2 linked regions of the Lytechinus pictus genome follow. The protein of the gene in region 1 interacts with the protein of each later gene in a pairwise test. Links are inferred from orthologs where the notes say so. Each region holds a gene or a part of one and is shown in the gene's direction. Other genes may lie near its edges.

Region 1 (6,836 bases):
AAATTCTTACTTAAAGATAAATTCCAGTAGTTGCAGTAAACACTGATTTCATGAGAAAGTCTGTAAAACCAGGTTTAATTGTCAGTATATCATCGAGGATCTAGATCTGGTACAGTTACATAAACTGAACTTTGTGAAATCTTGAAATCTACGCTGAAAAATGTTCACACTGAAGATCACAAACACAGATAGGCACACGTGGGACAGTGTATTATTATTGCTGGAATAAAGACCCGACGGAAGTGACCGAATCCGCGCTTATTTTGCTTATTTCTCAGCAATTACACAATTTCTTCCAGAATCCTTTGGCACATATTTTTTATTCATACAAACAGACACTTGGGTGGTCATTAAGATATTAGATTCTGTAAAAAGTCATTTTGAGATCGTTACCAAAACTGGAATTTATCTTTACTTAACATCGTGAAATTCGGAGATTCTGTGTCAATGCAGTGTGTCAATGCAGTCCCTAGTCCCCAGCAGGCTAGTAGTATAATTATAAAGTTAAACCAACTCTCACAGTTACAAACATATGGGACTGAAGACAACATCACTGACACAACAGATGATGGCAAATCTCCCCTTTTGAATTAAGGGTTTTGGTTTACAAAAATATCAGTTTTCAAATTATGCATAAGGAGTAAATTGATGTACTTACCTATTGCCAGTCGACAAGACTCAGTGTCGGCACTGGCTCTCTTTTCCCCTCTTTTCTTTGCCAAATAGTACGGCGCTCTAACACTACAGCTGATCAACAAAGGCCCCGCCTCCTTCTTGCTCTGTGGTGGAAGATTTGGGAAGAAGAGATTATCGACTGGAGGATGCATGGGAGCGCGCGCGCGAGCTGATGAGTTCGCGATGATTTTTAGTTTAGGGCTCTAAATGGGGCGTTGCAAGAAACTTGCAAGTATATTTTTGGTCTCTAAATGAATCATAAGTTGTGAAATTAATTGTGACTTTGCAATTGATTTCTTATCTGTTTCGTGAAACAAGCAGTGTAATCGGATTTCCTACAGTTGAAATTGGTCTATCAATTGTTAGCTTGCAACAGAATATTTGCAATTGATTGCAAATAAATTTTCTTGCAACACCGGCCCCCTATAGACTAGAGGACCGAGTTCCCGAATTATAGAAAACTTGAGTTTAAGTGCAGTCAGATAATCCTGGCATCTAGAAAACGATGCATTGGACAAGATAGGACAAGATGTATAGCTATAAACGATAATAATTTAAAATTAATGTTAACCTCTTCAGGGGCGGATCCAGCTTTCGCCGATGGGGGGGGGGGGGCAAAAAATATTTCACCCATATTATCCCCGATCGGCCGCTCAAAGTTGATTTTTGATTTTTTTTTTAAGGGGTTGTCCTTACAGTCACTTCTTATCTTTATATTCTTTTAAAACGACATAAATATCTAATAATCTCATAAGCCCTGTTGAAATATTGCGAGAGCGAATTAAGCGCGAGCTAATTTTTTATTAGATTTCATGTATTTTATAATGATACCAAGTATCAAGCGCAGTAGAGTATATGCAATTATAGTAGTTGCGCTATACAAATGGAACGATTATTGTCCTGAAAATTGAACATTCTGGGAGATGTTTGTGATCCTGAACAAGATGCGTAACGTTAGGTAACTAGAATTTTTTGATGTACGTTCAGGCCTGATCGAAAAGGACTTTTTGTAGTTAGCCATAAAGACAATAAATATTTCAACAATTATATAATGCGAGCGCAAAGCACAAGCAAAAATTTTTTGACATTCCGACCTAAAAAGAAATGGACTAAGCAATTTTTGTAATCATGAACAGTATATATAACAATTGATGCCAACGCGACGAAGCATGAGCGGAAATAAAATAAGTTTTCAGACCTAAAAATGAAACACTCTATTCATGTTTTGTAAATCATGAAAAGGATGGCAATTTGGGTATCTTCCTTCATTGATAAAGCGAGCAGAAATTTGTTTATATTCGGATTCGAAACCGGATAATTTAAGCACGTTTTAAAGGGATACTCTGCAATGTATTTATATGTAAATAGATAAAGCAAAATTCACTGAGAGCAAAACGCAGAAATTTCCATCAAGGCTGATAACAAATAGCAAAGTTATTGAATTTTAAAGGTTATCCATATTGGCCCGAATTCACAAAGGTTGTTTCTGCAAAAACCATGGTTTTAAATGAAACCACCTTTGTGAATTCGGGCCATTGTGTGAAAAACGTTATCTGCACATCGTCATGAATATTTATTATGGGCTGATGATGTCACTTACCCTTTTTCTTATATGTTATTGCATGAAATCATAATTGTTTGATTTTTTTCATACATGTGTGAAATGGTGTCACTCATGTATCCCTTCTTATGATATAGTTTGCAGCAATAAATATCTAATGCACTGAATCAGTTGTCAATCCGATATTTTTTATGTTTGGAGGCAAAAAAAAATTGAATAAACCTACTTTTATATAATAAAATACAAAAGATGAAGTGGGGATAAATTCAAGAAGACCGTGCCTAGAAATGTTTCACCGGAATAATGCAAATCTTTAAAATATCATAACTTCGTTATTCTTTGTCCAATTTTGATCAAATTTTCAGTGTTTTGTTAATATCTGATTTTTCTTTATCTTTCACTAACCTGATTGGTCTTCTCTACACACTAATGTCCCTTTTGTACCCTTGTTTCTAGTGTTGCTGTAGCTTGTCTGTGGTCTATATTACATGGTTGTTCCACTTTATATGTTTGTCATTTTGCCTCCGACGAAGATTCTGCTCGGATCGAAAGCTTATAGGCCCCTTTTGACTCTCTAATTCTCTTTATCTGTTCAAATCATACTATTTTCAGCCTTGAACAGCCCTTTAAATAAAGAAGAAGCTGCGTATATCTCTTTAAACATGCGTGCGTGTTTTTTTTTAGATCTAAACCTATAATCTGGGCATTCTGAATACATTTTTTCATCATTTCATTACATTTATCGATTTCCGTTGCACAATGTGGTACATAATAATAAGCATAACATAATAAAAAAAAGTTAAGCTGCCTCAGATGTTTTATTTTTAGTAAAACGGAGGGGGAGGCAAGCACCTGAGCATAAAATTATTTTCTTTACCTAATTCACACATTTCAAGGACATTTTGTCATCACATGAAAATGGTGGCTATCTTCCTATTCCTCTTCCTAATATGCGGGAGATGAAACTTACTCGACATATTCCTTTCTGAAAAGGGGGACAATTTATAGGGATTCAATGATCTAATTTATTAATCTAATAAGCCTAATGAGAGCAAGAAATTTATTGATATTAGAGCCTGAAAACTGGTTATTCTAAGCACTTTTGTAGTCATGAATAGGATGCAGAGGTTAATATATTTTTAACAATTAATGCGAGCGCGAAAATTTTTATTTTCCAAGTCTTCCTTTCACCTTATTTTAAATAATTCGTCTTCCTCTTCTTATTTTCCCTCTTTTTTCCTCCTCTCTTTCCCCCTTTTTTCTTTTTTTTTTCTTTCCATCTTTTGTCTTTTTTTTGGCTCCGCCAATAGGGGGGGGGGGGGGTCTCGCCCCCTATTGGATCCGGGTGTGAAATGATTTGACAATTGATATATACCAAAGGTACAGTATTTTGAGAAAATGACATTTCTTTAATTTGTTTACCACACGATATGTAGGAAAGCTGCTCGCATATGATCTAATGATGAAAATTCTAATTACTTGTTTTATTCTTTGACGGATGGATTTTTCTCAAACTTTTTTTTTTATTATTATTTCTTCTTATTTTTTTTTCTTCTATTTTTGTCAGGGTAAACTTTAACGTCACCCGCCCTCTACGTTGATGAATAGTACAATTACATGAAACCTGTCAATATGGTTTACGTGGAACAACAATAAATCCATAAATTTTTCTTCTTTTGAACAGGTCTGATCAAATTTTGAGAGAGGAAACACATCACAATGGCTTCCAGAAGTCTAACAGAAGTTTTCATACTAATGAGAAACAATGCAGCGCAGAGCAGACACATATATTCGGACCATGTAAGTACCGGTAGATACCCAAATGTTTTACCGAACGCTCACAATCATATTGCCCGGGCCTGTCGGGGTAGGATCATTCGCGAAGGTGACCGGTGCGGTGGCTGGCTCTCCATCCGGGCAAGGGCAGCTGCACGGCCGGTATGAAAATCGCGTTTGTCTTTAAGACTTATCTTTGTTTTCTTTTTTGTTATCTTCCTGATTCGACATGCTCCTATAAAAAACATATCTCTAAATCCACATTAACTTATTAATTATTTGGTTGCCCAAAAATTATAAAGAAAAACATCAATCAACATGATCAATGACAATGTGAATGTCATTGAATTAGTGCTGTTGAGTGTTGTCGATGGCCTCATATCGACATACGAAGGATTTTCAATGTTTCCGACATTCACGCACCCACATCGACATGTAAATATGAAATAAAAAGGGGTCTAGCCTAAGTCACGAATGTAAAGTTTACCTGAAAAGTTAGAAACATTTATCCACAGTAATTTAATTTTTGGCGCAATTTTTAGCAGCGCATCAAATTAATAAAGAATGCCTGCAAGCTGCGCGGCAGCAGAAATACGTCGGTGCGGCGCGGGGCCCAAGCCTGACGATCATCTGATCTCTGCTCCGTGCTAGCGAGCAGCATTCACGTTCACCGTACCCATGCAATTATCGATGCGTTGATATTGATAATACGCTGCTCCTCAATGTATTACTTTTCACATAGACGTGAGCAGCAGCGAACAAATGTTTTCGTCGAAGTTGTGACTGCTGTAATTGAGCGCTTCATTTCACGAAGTCACAGAAAACTTTCCTTCCTTTGTTTGGATCGCCGCAGAGGTGGTACTGAAATTATCGATCAATTTTTATTATTTTTATTGTCAATTTGAGGAGCTTGCGTTTGCAGCACATGTGTACCAGCGTTTAATACGCAATTATCACTGTTGCAATTGGTGATTCTCAAATTGGCTCCGAGTGTGATTGCGCAATGCTTTCGAGACCGGATCGTGGTACAAAAACTTGATTCTCCAGAATAAATGTGGATTAAATCGGCGATTTTGGAAGTAAATTCACTCTAGCTTATTCAAAATATGTTTTCCTGAACTGAGCCTGTATAGATCTAGATCTAGTGTGGGGATATCACTCGTGTCAAGGTGACTACATTTGAGAGTGTTATGTGCCATGATCGAATGATTGTTAGGGAGCCTAAATTACGGTCCCTTTTCCAAATGTCGATGTCGGGATTAATTTTTATGCGACATGTCGACATGGATTTTCTGTTCCCTACAACAATGAATAAATGAATAAACAATGAATAAAACAAACTTCTGAAATATTAATTCTGCAGCCACTACCACTAAGTTACTTTTACTTTGTACATCTTGTATGTAAACCTTGTTTGCTGTTATTATACTTTGCAAATTGATTTGTGGTAAAATATATATTGTTCTATCATTGATAATATGAAATGATTGAAAGAGGATAAATGAATTGTATTATTCTTGCATTGTGTGGACTTTTTTACTTTGATCTACAACATATAGACACGCACTCATAATGGTGAAGTAAATAAATTATGCATAACAAATCCAGATACAAAACAATGATTTTTCCTTTCTTCCTCTTTGAATCCTAAAACCTAGAGTATGCATTATGTTTTCTCTTTTGCAGCATATTATAGCAGGAGAAAATCACAGAAAAATGGAGAAGAGATTCTGGTCCAATATAAAAATGTGATTGATATAAAGAAATAAAGACTCACCAGGTTTAGCTTAAATATTTAGTCAGCGCACACCTGCAACTGAGATCGAAACATCAAGATGTTTGGAATTTTTTTTTTCTCATTTTCTCTCCATCTATTGAATAAATGCTAGATATTTTTTGCACAGTCATACATTATACATATCCAATATATGATCTAATTTGCATATCAGGATTACTTTTAATATACCATAATGCTCCAAAATTGTAGTTTTGAACATATATGAGATACTTGTGAAGCCCTATATTTGTAGAGAGAAAAAAATGTAGCCCACAAACCTTTTTATTGTACGCCCGTCTTACGGGACGTATTATGGTACCATGCTCGGTGTCCGTCCGTCTGTCCGTCCATCCATTAACTTTTCCTTGTAAACGCGATAACTTCAGTTTAACTTAACCTAAGCTCATATAATTTGGTGTGTATGATACTAGCATGGATCCCAGGAAGCCTTTTGATTTTGAGGTCAAAGGTCAAGGTCACAGTGACATGTTTTCATCGCACCCTTCTGCAGTCCTTTTAAACGCGATAACTTCAGTTTAACTTAATCTAGGCTCATTTTAACTTAATCTAGGCTCATATAATTTGGTGTGTATAATGCTAGCATGGATCCCAGGAAGCCTATTGATTTTGAAGTCTGAGGTCAAAAGGTCAAGGTCACAGTGACATGTTTTCATCTTACCCTTCTGCAGTCCTTGTAAATGCGATAACTTCAGTTTAACTTAACCTAGGCTCAAATAATTTGGTGTGTGTATTTCTAGCATAGATCCCAGGAAGCCTATTGATTTCGAGGTCAAAAGGTCAAGGGCACAGTGACTTGTTTTCATCTTACCCTTCTGCAGTCCTTGTAAATGTGATACCTTCAGTTTAACCTAACCTAGGCTCATATAAATTGGTTTGTATACTACTAGCATGGATCCCAGGAACCCTATTGATTTCGAGGTCAAAAGTCAAGGTCACAGTGACATGTTTTCATCTTACCCTTCTGCATTCCTTGTCAACGCGATAACTTCAGTTTAACTTAACCTTGGCTCATATAATTTGGTGTGT
Region 2 (7,792 bases), on another chromosome or scaffold:
TTATGCAGGTCGACTTGTTGGAACTGGCCTTTAAGAACCTAAAAAAAAGAGGAAATGATACAGGTTACACAATCAAAATTCAATTCTTTGATTTATTACCTGTCCTCATCAGAGATATCCTGGCTATCTTTCTGACACACAGTCTCATATCTAAATCTGAGAGGCACCTTGTGCTGTTCTAAGATGCCCCTAGCTGCACTCTCCCCAATCTCAAAGGCATAAACACCTTTCCTCTTTGGATAAGCCTTGTCAATCGTTCCTGCAGATCAAAAGAGAGAGTGAGAGAATAACAAATAGAAAAACTAAAGAAAATCCTAAGAAATCTATGTGAAGGAAATGTTAAAAATCCAAATGAAAAATTAGAATTGAAAACAATTTCTTATTCAATTTTTACCCTATACGATATGCAAGATCAGTGGCATCTCTTATGTGCTGCAACCAGAGAGCCCCAACATTCATGACTTCAAAAGTAATAGAAAAAATATAAAAGAGAAAAAGAGGGTTATAGATTTAGAGGCCTAGCTGTTATTAAAAAAAAAAAAAAAAAAATTCTCCTTGCCCTCCCATCCCATCCCTAGATAAAAATCGCCTGGCAAAGCGGCAATATGCCTTGAATTGAAGTTTTCCAAATGCTCCTAAATCAAACTAAGTTATTTTCAACTGATTAAGAGTTCGTCAAGTACATTTTCAGTTGGTTTTTTAACTGGTTAAGATATCATGTAGTATAATGAAGTATAAATTTTATAATATAGACAAGTGAAGTTCAATAATACATGTAGATGATTGAAAGCATATTCCAACATTCTTCAAAACACCTACCTCCAGTTTGAATGATAAGAACTTGCATTGTAGAATTTAGTTCCATCTTGAGTGATCCTCCATGAAAAACTGAAGATGGAAAGGAAATAAAAAAGAAAACCCTGTTAAGTTAGGCATGCATATCTAATCAACAATTATTTGAATGAAAATAAAAATACAATCATGACCAATTAAGCCTAATAAGAAATATTACATCACTCAGGTCCTCGTAAAAAGACGTCATCATCATGATCAACATCAATTAAGTTCTCAAAACATCACAAATTCAATTCACAGCATCAGAAATCAGCTAAGAAATTATTTCTCTTGCCTCACCTACATGACATTATGACATGAGCGTTAACTTTAAGCGAGACTCAAATTTTAAAAGCAAGAAGTGAAGAACCACGCCGCGGCCGTATAACGATCAACGATGAGAAACAAGATGGTGGCGTAAACATTCGGGCAAGTCTCCCCCGTCTTTTCATAATATTTTTCTCATTTTTTTAATGAATTCTCGTTTAAAAATGAAATCGATAGCGTAGAAATGAAGTTGTATCCCATTTTAGGGCTAGATCTTTTGGAAGGAAAGTATATCTCGGACTCGGGGGCGAAAGTTTGAGGTTTTTTGGTGGTAGGCTACATGTAGATTGCAATGGAATCCCTGGCTTCATAGAGAGTAAGCATAATAAGTTACTTTAGTAAATGATTTTTACTCTCTTCTCTAGAAGCCTCCTGGCTGCGCACACGTAATCCCCGCGACTATACCTACCTATATGCCGTGCCAGCGGCTAGGCACTCGAACTCATGGCGCTTAGATCACGGGTCCGTAGCCCGGCCGGTGGACGTGGCGTGGCCGGGGTGCAACACAGCTCCAGCCGGCAGTTTAGTCACTCACAGAAATTACAGCCACAGCTCAGGGAAGGTACCACAGCTGCTTCAGTGATTGTTACGTTTTTATCCTGAATCTTTTCTTACCCTTATTATGTCTACATGATATCTATCATAAAGAAATCCAGTCATTACGTACCCTTAGTCTTTTTTTAGTCTCATAATCGAATCCAAAATCAAGTTTTTCAGCATGTAACTTGTTATAGTTTTAGAAATTAGCGACTATTAAATGATTGGTGCCATATCTGTTACGGTATACCAATTTGCTGATCAATCCATTTCTATCTACCTTTTTATTTATTTATTTTTTTTAGTTATCTAATGCTTTATCTAACTTTTCATTGCTTAATTTATCTTGAATGTTTTCTAATTGATTTTTTTTATTTATATGTTTTATTGGGTCAACACAAACCAAGTATATACAAAAATAACAAATCATACATAATTAAACTATTCCATATCATTAGAAAAAAAAGAGAAAAAACAAGTGGAGCGCCTCTGGCAGTCTCAACTGCATCGCGCGATTCAATATAGCAACAGTGCTGACTTTGAAACTACAGGCTATAAAAATAAGTAATCATATCATTAGAAAAAAAAGAGAAAAAACAAGTGGAGCGCCTCTGGCAGTCTCAACTGCATCGCGCGATTCAATATAGCAACAGTGCTGACTTTGAAACTACAGGCTATAAAATAATTATTCACAAAAAACACCATTCATATAATGATACAATGCTACGTTCAGTGGCGTACCTGGGATTTTTCACAGGGGGGGGGCAAAACCGTCCGCCAAAAAATTTGACAAGCAAAAAAAAAAAAAAAAAAAAAAAAAAAAAAAAAAAAAGGTCTTCAATCACAACTGAAGGATTTTGTACCCAAAAAAAATTTGACAAGCTCGTCAGGGGGGCAATAAAGGTCTTCAAGCTCGTCAGGGGGGGCAGGTATATGACTTTTGTATGGGATGTGGCTCGTCAGGGGGGGCAGAGTGCCCCCCCTGCCCCCCCCCCCGTAGGTACGCTAGTGGCTACGTTCATTGACAAAAAAATGACATTTGGCCTTGATCATGCGACCTAAGACTTGTCCCCTATATCCATATCTTATGAACTATATCTATAAACTTTGAAAGTTATATGACAGCAATCTAATAATTGATTGTTACTGATTGATTAACTAATTGATTCGTTGATTCAATTATTTTTATTTTGTATTTTTTGATGTTTTTATTTATTCACACATTAACTATCGATTTTATTTACCCGTTAAAAGCTCTTGATGCTAACTTCATGCTTTGTTGGTGTAATAATTTGACGAATTCGTAGATCTATTAAACTATATTTTCTTACCAATTTCATATTCCCCATTGATTAAATTTGTTACCTCCACCCATCCATCCACCCGTCAATGCGCCCATGCCAATCTATCCATCTATTCATGCATGGCCCATAGGTCCATGTATCATGCATTCCCGTTCCTGTCAATAATTATTAAATTTATGGTGGGCTAATTGAATCTGTTGATTTCATCTATCATCAATTAATTGATATTATCTACTCGTTACTTTTTAAAACCATTATTATTGTTTATCGCCATTCTATACAATATGATCATTTACTTTATCTACTAATTTCACTCCACTTATCTTTTTTGTTTAATTTTCTTTCGTTAACAGTGTGGCCTTGCTATGGGGCTGCACAATTCGAAAAAATGCAAAAGAAATGATTAAGAATTTTCTTGTTCATTACAGTTGTTATTTTTACTTTTTCAATTTTTATGAAGAGCAAAATTAGATTTCAGTTGGAGCCCGCCTCCCCTTCTAGGGACGCCCTAGGCAGAAAGCCCATGCAAAGTTAATATCAAATTTGTAAAATGAACGCAAACTTACAGGAATTATATAATCCGATAACTTCTTTAAACCAATATGGCCGTATAATTACCCCCCTCATGATCTCCCCTGAAATTTTGAAGAAAAAAAAATTATGTTTCTGCTGAGATGCTCACAATTTTTTTAAAGCTACAGTTAATCAAATAGCAATTCCTTTGTGATAACCTTTGCTCTTCGTTTGTTCATATATATATTTTTGAACATTTTGTGTGTTTTTACGGCATTGATATCATCTGCGGTTAAATCACTGGTGGATCCAGGGGGGGGGGGGGGCAGCCGGCCCGTGCCCCCCCCCCCCCCCTTTGAGAGGCGCAATTAAAGTTTGTAATGTAAAAATACCTTTAAAACAGAAGTGTGCCCCCCCCCCCGGAAAGTGAAGACCTTTTTTATCATTTTGCTTATCAAATTGTTTCGTTAACTAAATACCCAAGTTTTGTTTAAAACCATTTTTTTTTGCTTGTCAAATTTTTTTTGCTTGTCAAATTTTTCCTCAGGAAAATGTGTCCCCCCCCCCCCCCCTTTCCAAAAAGCTTGGATCCGCCCCTTGGTTAAACAGAGCTGTCCGACACTGACCATGCAGTATTTGCAATTGATTTCAAACTTCAGTTGCAATTTGCAAGTGATATACTTGAACTACACATACCACTTTAGAGGTTTAAAGAACCAATTAAAGAACAAGATCAGTCGCAAATGATTGCAATAATTATGATTGGTTTAAAGACTTAGCCTTGCATGCGATCGATTTATAACATCTGTTTGCAGTATTTCTCATTCCAAGTGGGGTGAGGTGTCATCAGGTGGGGGATGGTTAAATAGTGGTGGGGCCCGGGACTATCAAATTGGGGTTTTTATTTTAGTATCGCTGTATTGTTTTCCGCTGATCAACTACGTTGGTTGCACAAAAAATGCCAGCAATTGAAAATAAATCCCCCGAACTAACAGTTAATCAATTATGTCTTAATTGACTTTTCACTAGATGCTGAAGTTGCATTTTCGAGAATGAGTTATGGGTTATTTGATTGATTTACATACATGTAGTTGTTATAATTTTCATAGAGGGTATTTTTAAAATGAAATTCGACTCCCCCTCACCACTTAACTTGGCTGTTTATGGGCACTTGCCCCCACTTGCCTCCCTCACAACGCGGTTTTGTTACATTGCTTACAGATCATTTAAGTGTATGACGATCTTTAAATTGGCAACAAAATACCAAGCAAATAATAATGGCTTATTTCAATTATTGACAGAACGTTAACGTGCGTGACTTGCAACCCTGGCCCTGAGAACAACTGCGACTGGCAAATGATATTTCAGGGGATGATTATCAATTGTTAATTGAAATTTTACGTCGTTTGAGATCAAATCTTCTATCAAGAGATCAAGAACAACTATTTACGTAGTTTTCCGAGCTGCCAGGAAGGTGAAACTTGAACCAAGTTGAAGAGAGCTCGAGAGTCTTGGCCGAAGATACATCGCACCAGCCACCACCGCCGCGCCGGAACGTTAATCCGATCTCGACGAAGCCAAGGCCAAGGGGGAAAAAACAACACCCAAAAAGCAAAATCTGCTCTCCCCAAACCAAAGCTAAGTTTTGATAATGTCACGAGGATCAAGTGCTGGGTTTGATCATTTCATTACTGTCTTTTCCCCAGAAGGGCGGCTGTATCAAGTTGGTAAGTAGAGCCTGCTCACTGGCACTGCTGGAATTGTTTTAACATGTTTATAATAATGTAGCCTATTGTTATGTTACTTTGTTAGGAAAGTGGGATTGGGAAGGAAGAGAAGGTCAATTTAAGGACGTTCCACAGTTAAAATGAAGTCCATGTCATTTTCACCATATTTTGCAGAGAGTTACTTTGGTATCTATGCATTATGAAAATGCAAAAAATAATATAGGTTCATGTGCTTATTTTTTTTCTACGGGACTTCAAAGTCGCCGTATTTGAATGATATGAAATATTGCGCAATCATGAGAATTATGCCTCTCTTAGACCTCACGAATTCACCAAATGCAAGGCTCGACATTAGCAGTGGCCCGGTGGCCCGGGGCCACCAGAAATTCACATCGGGCAACCATTATTGAAAAAATATTAAGTTTTGGTGGCCCGAATCGGGCAACCAATAATTTTCAGAATAGCGCAATTTTTCTCCCCATTTTGCACGCATTTATCAACTTTCTACAGTTCAAATTGCAAGCCAGTTCATCATGCGCCCTTTTTGTTGATCTACACACAAACACACACACAAAGTAGGCCTACCGCTATAGCATTAAGTAGCTTTTATCCAGCCGGCCGCGCCGGCTGGCGTGAGCTTTGCATGCTTCAAGCAGCTGTGCGTTAACAGCCTATTCAGACTCGGGGAGCTGCAATACGAAATGTTGCTGCTATGAAATCTTCCACAGAACTGAAAATCCAAGTCAAAGTCACATTTTACACCAATGAAATGCCCTTCTACAGACCTTGTTGCTAAAATCTGGTGTATCCTGATTATTTGCAAGCATTAAAAAGAGGAATCATGACCTCTCTTTTGACTCAAAAAGACCGATTTCCAAATGAAAATAATACACATAAAAACACATAGGTGAGAACATCACAGTCCCACGTGTGCATTTGTATATATGTTGTTACTTGGTTTCTTTCGAAGCTGTGTCTTTTCCGGTCTTTTCTAGCCAAAACTAAACAGACAGTTACTTAATTCTTTCTTGTTTATAATAAAAATGACTTCTTAAACAACTCTTGAGAAAGTAAATACTTTGGGAAGGCATTTCATTAATATGAAATGTTAATTTTTCCAACATTTTGGCAAATATAGGGAAGGAATTTTCTCACACCTTTTTTTGCCGTTTTATTATTTTCTTTCATTTTTTTTGACAGTGGTTAAACCATTTATACCCATTTATTCATTTTTAATGTTTTTCTTTATATTTTTTGGGCCACCAAACTTTAATATCGGGCCACCAAAAAAAATTATTTGAAGGTTTTGGTGGCCCGAACGGGCCACCACCAAAAAAAGTTAATGTGGAGCCTTGCCAAATGAGTTTAAATCATCTTTACTCTCTCGATATCACATCAAACTTTCAGGATGTGTAACTTAGTAGATACCAAAGTAGGAGAAAGTCTTTTAATTGGTAAAACTATATCTATTTGGATTCAGCAGCGCCCTCATTTGGCAGGAATGGTGCAAAAACTCGGAAAAAACAAATCTTCAAAGACGTGAATCTACTAAAAAATTAAAAAAGTATAGTTTAAGCTGCACTTTATTAAAAATCCATGTCACTTTCATCAAATATGGCTAAACTGTAGAGGAATGTATATGAAAGATGTAGGGAAGTTAAAAATATAGGGTCCATGTGCTCGTTTTTTAACTATGAGTGTCCAAAGTGTTGCGAGTTGGCTTGAAAATCGCCTAAAATGCGCCGAAAACGTGCAAAGTCTAATAATACCGTCTATAATGCGAATGGTTCCCGTATTTCGATCCCAAACATTCAAAATCCATGTCATTTTCATCATAATCTCTAAATTTGTAGAAGAATATATTCTGAAGCCGTTCAAATGTTAAAAATATAGGATCCATGTGCTCGTTCTTTAGTTATCAGTGTCCAAAATGTTGCGAGTTGGCTTGAAAATCGCCTATGCGACGAAAACGTGCAAAAGTATATACTACCGTTTATAATGCGAATAGTTCCCGTATTTTGCTCCCAAACATTCAAAATCCATGTCATTTTCATCATAATCTCTAAATTTGTAGAGGAATATATTCTGAAGCCGTTAAAATGTTAAAAATATAGGGTCCATGTGCTCGTTTTTTTAGTTATCAGTGTCCAAAATGTTGCGAGTTGGCTTGATAATCGCCTATGCGCCGAAAACGGGCAAAAGTCTATAATAATTATACCGTTTATAATGCGAATAGTTCCCGTATTTCGCTCCCAAACATTCAAAATCCATGTCATTTTCATCATAATCTCTAAATTTGTAGAGGAATATATTCTAAAGCCGTTAAAATGTTAAAAATATAGGGTCCATGTACCCGTTTTTAAACTATCAGTGTCTAAAGAGTTGCGTGTTTGCTTGAAACAGCCCAAAATGCGCCGAAAACATGCAAAAGGCTATACCGTCCGAAATGTCTAAAATACAAAAGATTCCTTAGTTCTGCTCCCAAACACTCAAAATCCATGTCATCTTCATCATATTCTCTAGATTTGCAGAGGAATATATTCTAAAGCC

What was found. The genes of interacting proteins can lie anywhere in the genome.
Region 2: the proteins of syntaxin-16-like (region 1) and proteasome subunit alpha type-6-like interact in a two-hybrid assay, tested with the Caenorhabditis elegans proteins (3 studies listed by BioGRID). The link is inferred for Lytechinus pictus from reciprocal best matches to the Caenorhabditis elegans genes syx-16 and pas-1.

Annotation. Positions count from the first base shown.
Region 1 is NC_087246.1:49,417,867-49,424,702, forward strand, and holds the start of syntaxin-16-like, read left to right. Parts: upstream 1-3,826; 5' UTR 3,827-3,955; coding exon 3,956-4,036; intron 4,037-6,836.
Region 2 is NC_087251.1:30,306,835-30,314,626, forward strand, and holds the start of proteasome subunit alpha type-6-like, read left to right. Parts: upstream 1-4,788; 5' UTR 4,789-5,166; coding exon 5,167-5,242; intron 5,243-7,792. Other genes in the region: uncharacterized protein LOC129264587, read right to left, coding at 100-259, 820-865. UniProt on the Caenorhabditis elegans protein: The proteasome is a multicatalytic proteinase complex which is characterized by its ability to cleave peptides with Arg, Phe, Tyr, Leu, and Glu adjacent to the leaving group at neutral or slightly basic pH.